3 linked regions of the Arabidopsis thaliana genome follow. The protein of the gene in region 2 interacts with the protein of the main gene of each other region in a pairwise test. Each region holds a gene or a part of one and is shown on either strand. Other genes may lie near its edges.

Region 1 (4,416 bases), on a different chromosome or scaffold from region 2:
CAGTTTTCTTTAGAGCCGCTACATGATCTACGAGGTTGCGGAAGCGATTTTGGTTCCTGCTAAGGCAGCTTGTAAGGTTATTAACAGCCTGGTCACAGGATATTGCCACAGAGAAGCAGGCTCCCATCTCTCATAGATTCTCAAATTCCTACCAGAGAGATTAATATACAAATTCCTTTCCTAATGTTTTAGTTTATTAACTGAGGTGTGTGCACGATCATTCGGGTTGACCACCAATCTTGGCATCCAGTCATCTACGACTCGATCAAATATTTATGTTATTTTAAAAATGAACTGTAACCAAGATAACATTTTTTTCATAAGGTCAACGACCCTTGGGATGTTAACAGAGCCAAGTTTAGTGAGCACTATGTGCTCGTTTTTTCTTAACACAATTCTAACGTGGTTTGGCCAAGCCAAGTCAACATTTTACTTACATCTCGTTTTCCAATAATGGTTTTGTAATCGATAACCTAAATCATTGTAATGAATGCGTTCCTCCCTATCGATCCTAGGCCTTAGACAATGCTGAATGATTCATAGCCACGCGAATAACCTATTCATACTAATATGGAAAGAAAGAAGCCAAACTTACAGAGCTCTTCTCACGGTCGTCGAAGAAAAGAGAGTCTACAGTCAGCAACAAAATTAGTGTTGCCATCATGGCATCATCTTGCAGCTTTTTCCGCACAAATAATTTATCATCCAAATGTTGTTCACTAAACCAAAAACAAACAAGCATTACAGCGAAGAAACCAACTCGTAGATACAGATTTCCAAATTCATGCCTTATTTAGACCAATAAAAACTGAAATTTCTCTTCAGCGAAAAAAAAAACAAACAAACTGAAATTTCATATAGATCCAGAAGATAGAAACTTGTAGGCTCAATCGACTAGACTAGAAGATGCTCACCCGATCGTGCTTGAGATAGCGAGATAGTAGCAACACCGACGGTAGAAATAAAATGGACGACACCCATCCAATGGGCTAATTTAGATTAACGGGCTTTAAGGGTTTGATAATGGATGTTAATTAACTGAGGCACATGGGATTGTATCACGTAGGCAATGGGTTTGATAATGGATGTTAAGTAACTAAGGCCCATGAGGTTGAAGTACGTAGGCAATTGCGTGAGCTTACGTTAGCGATGCCGTTAGAGACACGTAGTGGATGAAGTGGCTTTGGTTAGCAAAGGACACATGAGGCACATGCAAAGGCTATAAATGACTGCTGCTTTGCTACAACTTGCGATTCCCAAATTTTATAAGGTAATGGACCCTATCACCTCTGCTCGAAGCTAAGCCACCCAAGTTTGAGCTTCACCATTTGACACGTCTCTAGCTAATACTTAATGCTTAAACTTTAAACTAATACTTCATGTTTAAGACATTTCTGGCTGACACATTTATGAATTCGCTCTATGTCGTACGTACACCGGAAACCTTTAATTTTACAATATTAACCGTGATCTTTTTAAAAATATCTATATAAACGATAAGTATCTCATCAAAACAAAATTGAATAATGTGCACGTTTGTAAAAACTAGAAAAACAGGCAATAAACATCATCATCCAATTACACATCTAGTAAGTGTGATGCAGTGGCAAACTGGCAATAAACCAAGAAAAATCGAGAAAGAGCAGATGAGACAGTGTTGTGTTGTCAGGGTTAATAAAAAAAAAATGAAGATATTTTAAAATTTCATAATATTTAAATAATGAAGTAGTTTTATGATCTTATCCATAAATCAATTTTAAAAAGGTTTAAACTTTACTTTTCCGTATCAACAGCGTGTTTCGAGAAGATTCGGGAGGACACTCGTCGAACGGAAAAGTCGTCTAAGCCTTTATGTTCGAATCAAAAACTGACACGTAACCTTGCTCTCAAACAGAAAAATAAAATAATGTTAGAAAAATCTAGAGAAGGCTATAAATACTCCGTAGATACTTTGTCTTCCTTAGATATTTTGATTTCTGCTAAAGCTGTCTGATAAAAAGAAGAGGAAAACTCGAAAAAGCTACACACAAGAAGAAGAAGAAAAGATACGAGCAAGAAGACTAAACACGAAAGCGATTTATCAACTCGAAGGAAGAGACTTTGATTTTCAAATTTCGTCCCCTATAGGTACGTTGATTTCTGATTTCTTACAAATTTTCAATTAATTTCTCTGATTAGGTCTCGTCAATTGGTGATTCTAGGGTTTATCTTCGTCTTTAGGTTTTCGATTATTTCCTTTTAGGTATAGCTGTGAAATTGGGAAATTTTAGGTGTTCCTAATTTGATAACAAATAAGTAAATCGATCTGATTTTGAACCAAGTTTAAGTTCTCTTGCCTTATGTTTCAGCTTGTGTTCTGATATTGAAGTGTTGTTGTATTGTAGATTGTGTTGTTTCTGGGAAGGAGATGGCAGTTTATGATCAGAGTGGAGATAGAAACAGAACACAAATTGATACATCGAGGAAAAGGAAATCTAGAAGTAGAGGTGACGGTACTACTGTGGCTGAGAGATTAAAGAGATGGAAAGAGTATAACGAGACCGTAGAAGAAGTTTCTACCAAGAAGAGGAAAGTACCTGCGAAAGGGTCGAAGAAGGGTTGTATGAAAGGTAAAGGAGGACCAGAGAATAGCCGATGTAGTTTCAGAGGAGTTAGGCAAAGGATTTGGGGTAAATGGGTTGCTGAGATCAGAGAGCCTAATCGAGGTAGCAGGCTTTGGCTTGGTACTTTCCCTACTGCTCAAGAAGCTGCTTCTGCTTATGATGAGGCTGCTAAAGCTATGTATGGTCCTTTGGCTCGTCTTAATTTCCCTCGGTCTGATGCGTCTGAGGTTACGAGTACCTCAAGTCAGTCTGAGGTGTGTACTGTTGAGACTCCTGGTTGTGTTCATGTGAAAACAGAGGATCCAGATTGTGAATCTAAACCCTTCTCCGGTGGAGTGGAGCCGATGTATTGTCTGGAGAATGGTGCGGAAGAGATGAAGAGAGGTGTTAAAGCGGATAAGCATTGGCTGAGCGAGTTTGAACATAACTATTGGAGTGATATTCTGAAAGAGAAAGAGAAACAGAAGGAGCAAGGGATTGTAGAAACCTGTCAGCAACAACAGCAGGATTCGCTATCTGTTGCAGACTATGGTTGGCCCAATGATGTGGATCAGAGTCACTTGGATTCTTCAGACATGTTTGATGTCGATGAGCTTCTACGTGACCTAAATGGCGACGATGTGTTTGCAGGCTTAAATCAGGACCGGTACCCGGGGAACAGTGTTGCCAACGGTTCATACAGGCCCGAGAGTCAACAAAGTGGTTTTGATCCGCTACAAAGCCTCAACTACGGAATACCTCCGTTTCAGCTCGAGGGAAAGGATGGTAATGGATTCTTCGACGACTTGAGTTACTTGGATCTGGAGAACTAAACAAAACAATATGAAGCTTTTTGGATTTGATATTTGCCTTAATCCCACAACGACTGTTGATTCTCTATCCGAGTTTTAGTGATATAGAGAACTACAGAACACGTTTTTTCTTGTTATAAAGGTGAACTGTATATATCGAAACAGTGATATGACAATAGAGAAGACAACTATAGTTTGTTAGTCTGCTTCTCTTAAGTTGTTCTTTAGATATGTTTTATGTTTTGTAACAACAGGAATGAATAATACACACTTGTGAAGCTTTATGGGCCTTAGTGTGTCTCACAATATTTGAAATCGTAAGAGGAAAAACTATACGATCTCCACAAAAAAACTCATCATTGGATTGAGTCTTAGGAAGTTCTCTAGGGATTAGAGGGCAGCTTTATTTAACATTAAGCAGCTCGACATCAAAGACCAGCCAAGAGTCAGGGGGAATGCTACCAGCACCTTCCGCACCATACCTGTGAGCCAGACAATTTTATCATCTCTCATTAAAAAAAGCTTAAAATAAAACATCACATTATGGAAAAATAAAAAAAGATTTGCAAAGGCTTTACCCCATTTCTGGAGGAATTGTAAGCTTTCTTTTGCCACCAACAAGCATTCCTTTAGAAATTTACAAAAAGAGATCAAAACAACACACCATTTGACCATATTTAGTGAAGAAAAACCAGTAAGAAACTAGCTAGGTTACCATTAAGGCCAACATCCAATCCCTTAATGACTTTTCCAGCATCTGTATGTGTAACAGCAAGCACATAAGTATCCAAGTACCACTCACACATTAATAAAGCTCTTACTTTCGCATCAAGTTATAATACCAACCTAGACGAAACTTATAACGTGATTTTCCAACGGTGGAATCGAAAATCTTCCCATTCCCCTGAAGCTTTCCAGTATAATGGACACTTACCTGCACTCAGAGACAATAGACTGACCTCCAACAAATATTTGCACACAAACTACAACAGTTTAGGACTAAATGCTCATACCCTTTTGCC
Region 2 (6,003 bases):
TTCTTTAATACACAGAGAATTCAACACTGTTTATCAAGAAATTCTGTAGAATTTAACATGAGTCAAGAATTAAGCAACAAGAGTTTCTTTGATATAGTCCTTCAAAAAAACACAGATCAAACATTTCAACGACAAAGTAATGGATGATGCTATACAAATGAACACAAAAATTGCAAATCAAGTATATCAAATTTGAGTGTCTTTCTATTTGAAAATACACATATCAATACATATGAACATAAAAACTCATACATTTGAAATCCCCATATACATAAACGAAACGAAAAGGCACGGATCGAGAGGCACAGTCGAAGCAATAAAGGAGATTAGAGTACCTGAATCAAAGCTGTGAAGACCGCGAAACAAACATAAAGGTCGATGATCTACAAAAACAGAGTTCAAACAAGAACATTCAGCGGATTTTTCAATTTCAATGATGATTCATAAAAGATCAGAACAAAATGATAATGGTGGACCTTGAGATTCGTTGGTGTAGCGGTATAAGCAGAGTGAAGAGAATGGAAGAGATCCTGAGCATCCTTACTAGTCGATTTCACCATTTCTTCAAAGACTGACCAACACAGGCACAGCAAGCAAACTTTTCTCCTGCTTCTTCTTTTTCTCTTCTTCACGAGTCTGGTGCTCTCGCTGAAATGACGTTGTTTCAGGATTTGCTGATTAAAACGGGCTGTCATTGTTTGGGGCCTTTGGGCCCAAGCCTTTTTAAGTCTGAACTTCGAAACGTCGCCGTTTTGTTATGAGATATTTTCTAAATTATGTTTTCCACAGTTTGTAAATGGACTACCACTCGAGCTTGTTCGAAAAATCTTTAGACGTTACTCGAGGGCTCAATATGAATTTGGCGATTAATTTAAAAATCGGAAATAAATATTTAGGGTTATTATAATGTTTTTAAAACATTTTAATCTAATATTGTTTTGAAAATGGTAGTAAACATAAAAATATATTTTTAAGACAACATTTTATGTTTTTAGTTAAAATTTTGTACATAAGTTGCTATAATTTATCATACTCTTAATGTACATGTTTGAATAAAAAAGAAGTTGTTTTATATTTAAAATCTTAAATAATCAAGATATACAAAATTAGGTACGAAATAATCGGATTAGATGGAAGGTAATTAGATAACTGATTTCTTCAAGAGATTAATCATTCAATAAGGCAGGCAGAGTGGATGTAACAATTAAAAACGGAATAATCGGAGATACACTGAAATTTTTAGAATAAACACAACTTTAACAAATTCAAAGAGAACGTTTGTAATTTCCTTGTACAGCGTAAGGAAAGTTTAGATAAAAGATGTATATAATATAATAATTGAATGCATACGTAAGAGATGAGTTTATTTTCAAATTTAACGTAACCGAACAAAATAAGTTTTCTTCTAAATTCCGTAACATATGTCCTAACCACTCAAACTAAAACAAAAATTAAATTTTTTTCTGGTCTGAAGTATTAAAACCACAATCTTGACAAAATTGAAAATTTATTTTTTATGATAACAATTTTATAAATTTATATTATTGGAGCGATATCTGACAAAACTAGTTTAAAACTGAAAAAATGTCTATGTAACTATAATAGAGTAGTTTACAACACATTTATTTACTTGTTTATACTTGATAGTGAAATTGGCCGTGTTTGACCGGGTCAGAATTGATAGGTGACGGTCCAGTTAGAATTGGGCTTTGACGTAAAAAAAAAAAATGTGTAACTTTGTTCTTTGCCTAAACGATTGGCTTTGTGTCCAAGAGTAGACCGCCGACTTAGATTTTTTCGCCGACGAGAGAATATATATAAATGGCTCGTCTTTTTCCAAACGATTTCTTCTTCTTCGTCGTCGCCGGTTTAGGGTTTCCGTTGCTGTAGCAATTTTCTCTCGCTTCTCTCTCCCCTTTTACAGTTTCTCTTATATTGCTCTTGCCTTGCGTCCAATCTCAAGAGTTCATAAGGTTAGTTTAAATTTGTCTTTATTGATATAATCTATGATTCTGTGAATTGGTGTGTTACATTTAGTCGAAATTGTTGTGAATTGTGTTGTTCTTGAGATGTTTTGGTGTCAATTGATGGTTTATTTGCATAATTTTATTAGGGGTTTCGCTGAAAAGCTGAAAAAGATTGCTATTACATAATTTGTTAAGAGTGAAAATGTCTCGTCTAAGCTTCTGTTGTTATGATTCATGTATTCACCTAAACAGAAGAGAGCTTGTCTCGACAGCTTTGATAGCCTGTTGTTATTTGTTGGTCTGTTTCTGTCTTTGAAGGTTAAATTTTTTGGCTTGTCTTACAGAGTTGACATTTGTGAACATCGAAGAAATACGGTGACGTTTCTTCTCTGATTACTTTTTGCCAACATGAATACTAATGTATTTATCAACAAGTGCTACAGCCTGGTAAGTCTCAAGCTTTCCGATGAGTTTACCGTTCTATCTAGTCCGGATTTGTATCTGCAGTTTTGCTTCTTTGTTCTGTCATGTTTGTTATAAGATCTTGCCTTCTGAGTAGCTGAACCTCTTTTTTCATCCTTGTGTAGGTTAGTTGTCACTTCTTTCCTTTCTTGTAATCTTTCTTATATTGTTTTTCCTATGATTTGTAAAGGGATTTTACTGGTATCGATTCGACAGTGTTGTTTCAATTGAAACATGATGCTTTGTAGGAAAACTCATGAATAACTGTTCATATAGTTGCTTTCTGTTGGTGTTTATAGCAGTGTCTTTTTGTTAAGTAGGTTATTGCATGATGAGAGTCTTTTCATTTTTATTTTATATACAGTCACTGCACTTTTTTCATATCTGATGCACACCTTTCTTCTTGCAGTTTTTTTCGAAGCTGTTGGTGAGTTCCCATCCTTAGTACTGCTAGACAGTTCGGTGTGTTAGTTGACTTTATATTCAAGGTTATAGGTTTAGTGTTGTTAGTAGAGAAAAATGGAAGCCAAAATCGTCAAGGTATCGGATAGTAGTTATAAAGATGGTCTTGGGAAGAAGAGAAAGCATCCAGGGAACTATACTCCTTATGATTCTGGAAGGTCATATGCAAAGCTGCAATGGGTGCTTTCACCCAACAGTTCCACCCAGAAGCTTGAGAAAAGGAGAAATTTGGATGGTGAAAACAAAGTTATTGTTTCTGAGAATCATGTTGAGAAGTCTTTGGTCAGATACTTCTCTTATTATAAGAAGACAGGAGTGCCAAAACGTGTAATGTTCCATGAGAATGGTGAATGGATTGATTTGCCTGATCATATTCTATGCGACATCAGGAATGATCTTGAAGCAAAGAGAGCTACAATTGAGTTCAATTGGTGCGGTCGCCATTTTCTCCTGGATTTCTTGCACATGTATCGACTAGACTTGGAAACAGGTGTAAAAACCCAGCTTGCTTGGATTGATATTGCTGGCAAATGCTTTTTCCCTGAAACTTTTGACACCCTCGAAAGGGACGGCTGCCATCATATCCGTGGGGAAGATCCGGAACAACATGATCAACGTGAGATCAAGCTGCACATTGAAATTGATGTAAATAGTGGGGAGTTACCGAGGCTGAATTTGAATGTGGTCACTGACGAGTCTGGTGACAATATGGATGATTTTCAAGCTGTTCAGAGATCCTCAAATGGGCCAAATGACGAGGCATCAGAGGATAGCTGCAGCCGTGAGCTTGATGATGCTGTTGAGAAATGGGACAAAACAGAAACTGATCGGTTCTCTGGTGTCAAGCCTGCTGAGGAGGAGCTTGATAAAGATGCTGTCAAACAAATGTTTGCTTTGGGTGCTGCCACTCTAGGGCATGTAGAGTCGCTTGATGTGTATCAGTTTTCAAGCGAGATTGCAAAGGCTCGTCTATCTCTTTTCCAGAAGCAAGCTGACATCACTAAGAAACACCGAGGAGATGCAAACATTAGATATGCATGGGTTCCTGCGAAGAAGGAAGTGTTATCTGCCGTGATGATGCATGGACTTGGAGTGGGTGGAGCATTCATTAAAAAGTCTATGTATGGTGTTGGGGTTCACGCTGCAAACTGCCCTTATTTCAGGTTTTTATTCGCCCTCTATGCCAGTTCCTCTCTCATTTAGCCTGCCTTATGCTATTTTTGTTTCACTTTATAGTTCATTTGTTTTATGGTTTTATCTAAGCACATGTGAAAGATATTGTTTACAGTGCTAGATACTGTGATATTGACGATAATGGTGTGCGGCACATGGTTTTGTGCCGCGTAATAATGGGGAATATGGAGCCTCTTCGTGGTGATAACACGCAGTACTTTACTGGTGGAGAAGAGTATGATAATGGGGTTGATGATGTTGAGAGTCCAAAGCATTACCTTATCTGGAACATGAATATGAACACTCACATTTACCCAGAATTTGTAGTTAGCTTCAAGCTGTCTATCCCCAATGCTGAAGGTGATTACCATTTGTTATTTCTCCTGTAATTTCCATAAAAATCAACTGATGACGCATTGAATGGGAGACAGCATATAGATCTTACTGAAGATCAGCTATTTGGATCCTGAAATCTTCCTCTATAAGTTAGAAAAGGATCCACATCACCTTGTGACCTCTGGGGGTGGTAAACATACTTCATCATCCCAAGGGTCCAGTGAGATATCCATGGCTAATATATATGGGTATTTCGATGATCACATTTGTTTTCTGTAGTATTCGAAACGGGATGACATGTTTTGTTTGTGCAGGGAATATTCTTCCTACTACTCAGAGTAGGCACGAGAGTTCGGGACTCACCTTGGAAGGACCCAAAGGTTCTCCCTCAAATGTAAGTTGAATTGTACCTGATCAGATTCTCATTTTCAAGCAGTCATTGTTAATATTTGATATGGACACAAACGAGTAATGTTGCTTGTTTGTATGAAGCAGGAGCCAGGAAGGGTATCAAATGGAGGTTCAGGGAGCGAAAAGAATAGCTCCAGCAGTAGAAGGCCCAGATCTCCTATAATGCCTTTCCCTCTGCTGTTCAAAGCAATCTCGAGCAAAATTGCTCGTAAAGACATGGATTTGATAATTGCTGGTTACCAGGAACTCAGGGTAAATAATATAAACCATGTCTTTTACCAATAGTCAAGGTTATCATATTGTATTAACATAATCGGTGTGCTCTTGCAGGAGAAGAAGGTGTCGAGAAAGGAATTTTATAAGACGCTGAGTATGATTGTAGGAGATGATGATCTGCTGATATCTACAATAACAGGCCTTCAAAGGAGTTTGGGTTAGATTAATGTGTCGACTTCTCTTTGCTGTCGTGAAACCTTAATAGTTTGGATTACGACAAACGTGACTTGATCTTTAGAAACTTAGTAGTAGTACTGTTATATTTACTCTTTTGGTGAAACTAGTCTCCATTATCCTGTTTTTCTTTACTTGGAATCAAAGAGTCTTTTATTGATCAACAGCCTTGGTTCTTTGTGAGGTTTAATTCATCAGCTGGAAGTTATTCAACAGCCTTAGTTTTAAAAAGCGCGCTAATGGCGTGCCATGGCGCATAGCGCACCGATGCTCTAAGAATAGGGCAACAAGACGTGGAGGCGAGGCGACATCTATAATGCGCACGCCATACGTGAGCCTTGGCCGATGCACAAGGTGGCAAAGCGATCGCCTCTTGTGTTCAGGCGAAAACTCTTCGAAACCAACAACAGAATTCTGTGATTTTAGGGTTTGCACGAAGAAATGACTAGGAGGAATAGGATAAACCATTTTCTAAACCTAGCTGGTTAATACATGATTCAATTTAGCTGGTCAATACCTAATCCACGACTAGAAAGTTTAACCATGAGTTATAATTAGCTTATCAAACCAAATCAATCCTAGGTTTATCTTAAACTAAAACGGATTTGACCCTTACCTCTTAACCCACGACATTTTAACCAGTTAGAAGATGTAAAATCCCTAATTTTTCTAAATAGAACACCATAGACGATATAAGCTTGAAGGCTAAAACCATATGCAGAGAATCTGTTAATAGAACACC
Region 3 (6,240 bases), on a different chromosome or scaffold from region 2:
GAGTGAATATCTCAGCGATGCTCTGAAGAAGAACAAGGAGCAGAGAGGACTCATCTCTTGCCTTAGCCAAGACTGTGTCGCCTCTGTTGGACCCGATACGATCGAGCAACTCACAGAGCCAGTGAAGGAGATGTACGAGAATTATATTCTCGAATCCTTCATGGAGTGCCACAAGGCAACGATCAAATGGTGTCCTGCTTCGGGTTGTGAATACGCCGTCGAGCTTCAGGAGGATGGTAATGAAGATAATGTCATCAGTGTGGTCTGTTTGTGCGGCCATACCTTCTGTTGGACATGCGGGCTCGAGTCACACCGTCCGGTGTCTTGCAAAAAGGCATCAATTTGGTGGACGTACCTGTTGGATCAGTCAAGAAGCATTTCTTGGATCCATACAAACACCAAAAGTTGTCCCAAGTGCAAGATTCCTGTGCAGCAGAATGGTGATCCTAATTACAGACTCATTAATTGTATCTGCAGGTTTGTTTCTTTCTGAGCTTTAAAACATGTGCAAAATATTATATCTTTAAACTCATTACTATGTTTTCTTGACTGTTATGCATCATCAGTAATAACTTCTGTTGGATCTGCTTGCGCACGGAGGAACAGCATCAGGGGAACTGGAATTGTTCTCCAGTCGCTGTTCCAGCTGCGGGTCCTTCTACCGTTGAATTCTCACAGATTCTCCACCTGAATCTGTGGGAGGCAGGTCATGAAGCATTGAAGAAGGCTAAGTCCAAGCTGAGAGCCTTAGAGGAAAAAATCATTCCGAAACTGATCGAGAACTGCGGAGCGACCGAGCTGGACATTAGGACAGTAAGAGAAGCAGGGATGCTTAGTGTTCAGTGCAGGCAGGTACTGAAATGGAGTTGCGTATTTGATTACTCTATAATCGAGTACGAAAGCACGAAGAAGCAGTACCTGAAACACCTCCGAGCTCTGGCGAGCACAATGCTTTGTATGCACGAAGGGAAGCTTGATGAGTTGATACATCTAGCCCTCTCACCTGAAGATTTCACTAACTATAAGCACAAGTTGGAAATCAGTACAACATGCACTGGTAACCACTTCGATGGATTCATCAAGGAACTGGAAGATGGTAAGCCTGAAGTGAAGGCTGATGGTTACGAGAATGAACCAGGCAGTCGCTGGTTCTGTGATAGGTGCACGTTTGAGAACAGCTGGGTTGATAAACAGTGCAAGATGTGCTTTTTCCCCCTGGACTATCATCCTTCTCCTCAAGTGGCAGCAGCTCCTGAAGACCTTGGAAAATCGGAGTGAGAGTGAGTGATGAGTAAAGGATAAGTCTCATCAGTGATTGATGCTGGTTTCGTTTGGTGTTTTAGCTTCTCTTGTGTTGTTTTGTGTTTAAGAGTCTCCTTTGTTTCTCTTTCTCCTCTCTGTGTTGGATCATCATCCATCATATTGGTTTAAGAGTCTTGTTGCATTTGTCTTCTAAGTCTTTGTTGTTGTTGTTGTTGTTGTTGTTGTTGTTGTTGTTGTTTGTTGGTGTTTATGTTTGTGTTTCCTTGTTATAATATTTTTTGTAACATGAAAATGCAAATACAAAACTTCAGAGGAACAATAAAGTTTAAATCATGGTTTCGAATATAATGTCTATTGAAGAACAAAAGGTGAATTTCAACCATACATCAAATATATAAAATAAGAAAAAATCCGGTGGCTGAGAATATTTAACGGTAATGTAACACTCTGCAACAGTATCTTCTTCCTCTACACTGACACATTTCGTCGAACACCTTTCGCTAATGTCAGTGAGCAAGTTTCCACATCTCTCTCATGGCGTTCACACTATCAATTTCCTCAATGAACCAGTGTTTTTAAGTGTGTTGCTCCCATCTCCCTCTCGGATTCGAGTATTCTCGTCCATTTCCACCTCCGGGATCGGCGGCGGGGTCGCCAAGTGCCATGGAACGAGACATAGCGGCGCCGGTGGTAGAGGTGATAACGGGTTGAGGAGAGATAGTGGATTAGGTTTCGACGAGAGAGGAGAGAGAAAAGTGCGTTGTGAGGTTGATGTGATCTCGTGGAGAGAACGGAGGATAAGAGGCGAAATCTGGGTCGATTCTGATTCTCAATCTGTTTGGAATGTTCTTACTGATTATGAACGACTTGCTGATTTCATACCCAATCTCGTTTGGAGGTACTTCCCTCAGTAATACCCACTTTTTTCTTTCAGATTCTTATCATTTTGTTTGTGTTTATCTACAGAATTCTTCTGAATAATCTCTAAAGATTCAATTTTTATGTTATCTGGTTCATGCCATTGAAATTGTTTATACTGAATACAATGACTATACGTCTCCAAGAGAATGCTGAATCTCCATGCTTAGTTACCTCTCTTTGTTGATGGTATATTGTTTCAACTTGTAGTGGAAGAATTCCTTGTCCACATCCAGGACGTATATGGCTGGAGCAACGAGGCCTTCAAAGAGCCTTGTATTGGCATATTGAGGCTCGTGTTGTCCTTGATCTCCATGAGTGTCTAGATTCTGTGAGCACTCTTAAGCCTTTACTTTTCTCTTGCTGAATGATTGGGATTGAGTCTAAAACCTGCAAACTCTTCCGGATTCTGTGGTCTCTTTTTTTATGCATATCTTAGCTTTTGTTAAGAATCAAGAGGTTTCCTTTACACTGGATGATCTGTAATCATGGTTGATAAGGAGTTGCCTGCTTCCCACTTTCTCTAGATCCTTATTCCTAACCTCTTATTAGTTCTAGAAAAAACAATCATAGTGAGGTTTACTCTTGAAAATATCCATGGTTCTAATGAGTTCTCTTTCAGCCTGCTTTGCACTCATTGCATTGGTTACTTAGGGTACAACAAGATGTTATTTGTAACAAGTAGTTTTGTTGTTTGGTTAATTAGTTAATCTTTACTCTTGAGTTCTTATATTACATTTGTTTCTCAATCCATACATCTCTATTAATGTAGTTTTTCCTATTATCTTATTAGCCAAATGGTCGTGAGCTTCACTTCTCTATGGTAGATGGTGATTTCAAAAAGTTTGAGGGAAAGTGGTCTGTGAAATCTGGTATCAGGTACACTCATTAATCCCCGTAAGAAGTTTGTGTGCTCATCCTATCATCATTTAAATTAAATCCTCTATAAATGTGTATCAGAGAAATTCTTTCTGTAAACAGTCTGTTATGCATTTCTAACCACGGATCATTTTGGAACCATCTATGTTCCAAACATTTGTTTTTCTCTTTCTCCAGGTCCGTAGGAACTGTCTTGTCATACGAAGTAAACGTAATCCCAAGATTTAACTTCCCTGCCATTTTCTTAGAGAGGATAATCAGATCAGATCTTCCTGTAAATCTCCGGGCCGTAGCTCGCCAAGCTGAGAAAATTTATAAAGATTGCGGAAAGCCGTCAATAATAGAAGATTTGTTGGGTATAATATCTTCACAGCCAGCCCCTTCTAATGGTATTGAGTTCGATAGTCTTGCTACGGAGAGATCTGTTGCCTCCAGTGTTGGATCATTAGCTCATTCAAATGAATTGAACAACAATTGGGGAGTGTATGGAAAAGCCTGCAAGCTTGATAAACCTTGCACCGTGGATGAAGTTCATCTTCGTAGATTTGATGGTCTATTGGTAAGTAGTTTGGCTCAAAACTTACTCTATATACTATGAAAAAAAAAAGTTTTCCCATCTTTTGTGTTTATGAGTCAGTGGTTTTTTTCTTGGATGAAGGAAAATGGAGGTGTTCACCGATGCGCCGTTGCTAGTATAACAGTTAAAGCTCCTGTTTGTGAAGTTTGGAAAGTTCTAACGTCTTATGAGAGTCTTCCAGAGTAAGTACCGAACACATATATTTATCATATCCGGGCTTCACTGTTCTGACCTTAAGGAGGATTTTCTTGTCAATCTTCTTCAAATATTTGTTGTGTTGGCTTATATATATCTCTTGTTCTTCTGCGTTTATTGTTCATGAACCTATCAGGATAGTTCCAAATTTGGCAATCAGCAAGATTTTGTCACGCGATAACAATAAAGTCCGAATACTTCAGGTATGAGCATTCTCATCCACGGTTACCTTGTAATCAAATTTGGCAAGGACTAGAAGGAATCATTCTACAAGTACTTGTATTGGGTACTAACACTGGAAAAATCTGAAGAGAGAATTTGGTTGCCAAAATATGACTCATAATTTGCTCTTTCATGATTCAGAAAGGCTCTGTATTTAGTCTGGTCTTGAAGATCAAAATTCTGATACTGGCCAAAGCCAATGTTTCTTTTCTTGATTTCAAGAAATTATATAACTAAAACTGAATTCTGTTTTCAGGAAGGATGCAAAGGCCTGCTTTACATGGTGCTTCATGCAAGAGCTGTTCTCGATTTGCATGAGATTCGTGAGCAGGAAATCAGATTTGAACAGGTTGAAGGAGACTTTGACTCGCTAGAGGGGAAATGGATTTTTGAACAACTAGGAAGTCACCACACACTTCTCAAGTATACCGTGGAGTCCAAAATGAGAAAAGATTCATTTCTTTCTGAAGCAATCATGGAAGAGGTTTGGCTTACAATTGACTGAGTTCAGTGCAATCTTTTTTTTTTCTTATTGGAACCACAATGTTTTCTCTGAATCTTTTCAGGTTATATATGAAGATCTTCCGTCAAATTTATGCGCTATCCGGGATTACATTGAGAAAAGAGGAGAGAAATCTTCAGAGTCATGTAAACTGGAGACATGTCAAGTTTCAGAGGAAACATGTTCTTCATCTCGTGCCAAATCAGTTGAGACAGTTTACAATAATGATGATGGTTCAGACCAAACTAAGCAGAGACGGAGGATTCCTGGTCTACAAAGAGACATTGAAGTCTTGAAATCAGAAATTCTCAAGTTCATATCAGAACATGGACAAGAAGGATTCATGCCCATGAGGAAGCAGCTTCGGTTACATGGAAGAGTTGACATTGAAAAAGCCATTACAAGAATGGGTGGATTTAGGAGAATAGCTTTGATGATGAATCTTTCACTTGCTTATAAACACCGAAAACCGAAAGGATATTGGGACAATCTCGAAAACTTGCAAGAGGAGGTAAAGTTTCTAGACATGTTCAAAAATTAAAACCACTGTTGCCATGGTGTTTACAAGAGCTTCTCCCTCTGCATGTGGTTGCAGATAGGAAGATTTCAACAGAGTTGGGGAATGGATCCATCATTTATGCCGAGCAGAAAATCTTTCGAACGAGCAGGTACAAACAGTAAACTCAATTTAAGCTCTGTGTGTTCTTCTCAATCGGATTGGTCTGAGAAACATTTGGTCTGTTGTTTCAGGTCGTTATGACATTGCTCGGGCGCTCGAGAAATGGGGAGGATTACACGAAGTATCTCGTCTTTTAGCATTGAACGTGAGACATCCAAACAGGCAGCTAAATTCTCGTAAAGACAACGGTAACACGATACTGAGAACTGAATCTACTGAGGCCGATTTAAATTCAACGGTTAATAAGAATAATAAACCTTACGTCTCTCAAGATACCGAGAAATGGTTGTACAATCTTAAAGATCTTGATATCAATTGGGTTCAATATTGAAGCATTAATTATGTACATTTCACTATTTGTGTAGTCTTGTAACTCGCAAAGATAAACATGTATTTATGTAAATTGTAACATTGGATTGAAATTATCTGATCTCTTTTTAATGTTTCATCTGTTTTTAGTGTTTATATTTCACTTTGATAAAATAGAGTGAGAGAGCACCGAACAATAAGGAGGATAATAGCAAGGAACAAAGAAGTAAAGGTAAGTCAATGAAATTTGATAGTGATGGTTTTAAGAAAAAACGAAAGTCCCATCATTGTCTTCCTTCAATGTGAAATGAAGTTACACGTAATTAGAAACAAACTTCTTTCTAGGTTTTAGATTATTACAGAACCAAGTCTCAGAGGTCTTGACTCGTGACTGAAGAGAAAGGGTCAAGATATTTGGATGTGAATTGTGATGTGAAAAAGGAAAAAAAATCGAGATTTTAAAAGGGAAAATCAATAGAAAATATAAAATGCATGCATAAATCTAGAAATGATAGGTGTTTAACATTGAAGGCAAACTATGAGACAATCTTGAATCTTACTACTTTATACAATAGCTCTATATGTTATGACTTATAATAATTGGGACCTTCCTCGAGATTTAGACAGACCCTCTAACAGCTGAGAAACATGCATGTAAACAACATTTTTCTTTTTGATATAGATTAATCAGGAGAA

What was found.
Region 1: the proteins of SRO1 (region 2) and DREB2A interact in a two-hybrid assay, tested with the Arabidopsis thaliana proteins (one study listed by BioGRID).
Region 3: the proteins of SRO1 (region 2) and AT5G08720 interact in a two-hybrid assay, tested with the Arabidopsis thaliana proteins (one study listed by BioGRID).

The regions. Positions count from the first base shown.
Region 1 is NC_003076.8:1,600,243-1,604,658, forward strand, and holds DREB2A (DRE-binding protein 2A), read left to right. Parts: upstream 1-1,962; 5' UTR 1,963-2,127; intron 2,128-2,384; 5' UTR 2,385-2,407; coding exon 2,408-3,415; 3' UTR 3,416-3,797; downstream 3,798-4,416. Other genes in the region: AT5G05400 (LRR and NB-ARC domains-containing disease resistance protein), read right to left, coding at 1-127; AT5G05420 (FKBP-like peptidyl-prolyl cis-trans isomerase family protein), read right to left, coding at 3,798-3,876, 3,973-4,021, 4,110-4,151, 4,241-4,328, 4,408-4,416. UniProt on the Arabidopsis thaliana protein: Transcriptional activator that binds specifically to the DNA sequence 5'-[AG]CCGAC-3'. Binding to the C-repeat/DRE element mediates high salinity- and dehydration-inducible transcription.
Region 2 is NC_003071.7:14,916,144-14,922,146, reverse strand, and holds SRO1 (uncharacterized protein), read left to right. Parts: upstream 1-1,664; 5' UTR 1,665-1,973; intron 1,974-2,311; 5' UTR 2,312-2,414; exon of another isoform or gene 2,415-2,554; intron 2,555-2,838; 5' UTR 2,839-2,948; coding exon 2,949-4,054; intron 4,055-4,179; coding exon 4,180-4,424; coding exon of another isoform or gene 4,425-4,453; exon of another isoform or gene 4,454-4,714; coding exon 4,715-4,794; intron 4,795-4,895; coding exon 4,896-5,063; intron 5,064-5,141; coding exon 5,142-5,249; 3' UTR 5,250-5,457; downstream 5,458-6,003. Other genes in the region: DAD2 (Defender against death (DAD family) protein), read right to left, coding at 336-383, 477-560. UniProt on the Arabidopsis thaliana protein: Probable inactive ADP-ribosyltransferase that functions with RCD1 to regulate oxidative stress, hormonal and developmental responses. May regulate some stress-responsive genes. Seems to play a smaller developmental role than R.
Region 3 is NC_003076.8:2,840,862-2,847,101, reverse strand, and holds AT5G08720 (polyketide cyclase/dehydrase/lipid transporter), read left to right. Parts: upstream 1-1,571; 5' UTR 1,572-1,766; coding exon 1,767-2,161; intron 2,162-2,391; coding exon 2,392-2,512; intron 2,513-2,974; coding exon 2,975-3,060; intron 3,061-3,237; coding exon 3,238-3,619; intron 3,620-3,718; coding exon 3,719-3,819; intron 3,820-3,968; coding exon 3,969-4,035; intron 4,036-4,310; coding exon 4,311-4,538; intron 4,539-4,620; coding exon 4,621-5,067; intron 5,068-5,151; coding exon 5,152-5,224; intron 5,225-5,306; coding exon 5,307-5,566; 3' UTR 5,567-5,694; downstream 5,695-6,240. Other genes in the region: ARI16 (IBR domain-containing protein), read left to right, coding at 1-477, 567-1,278.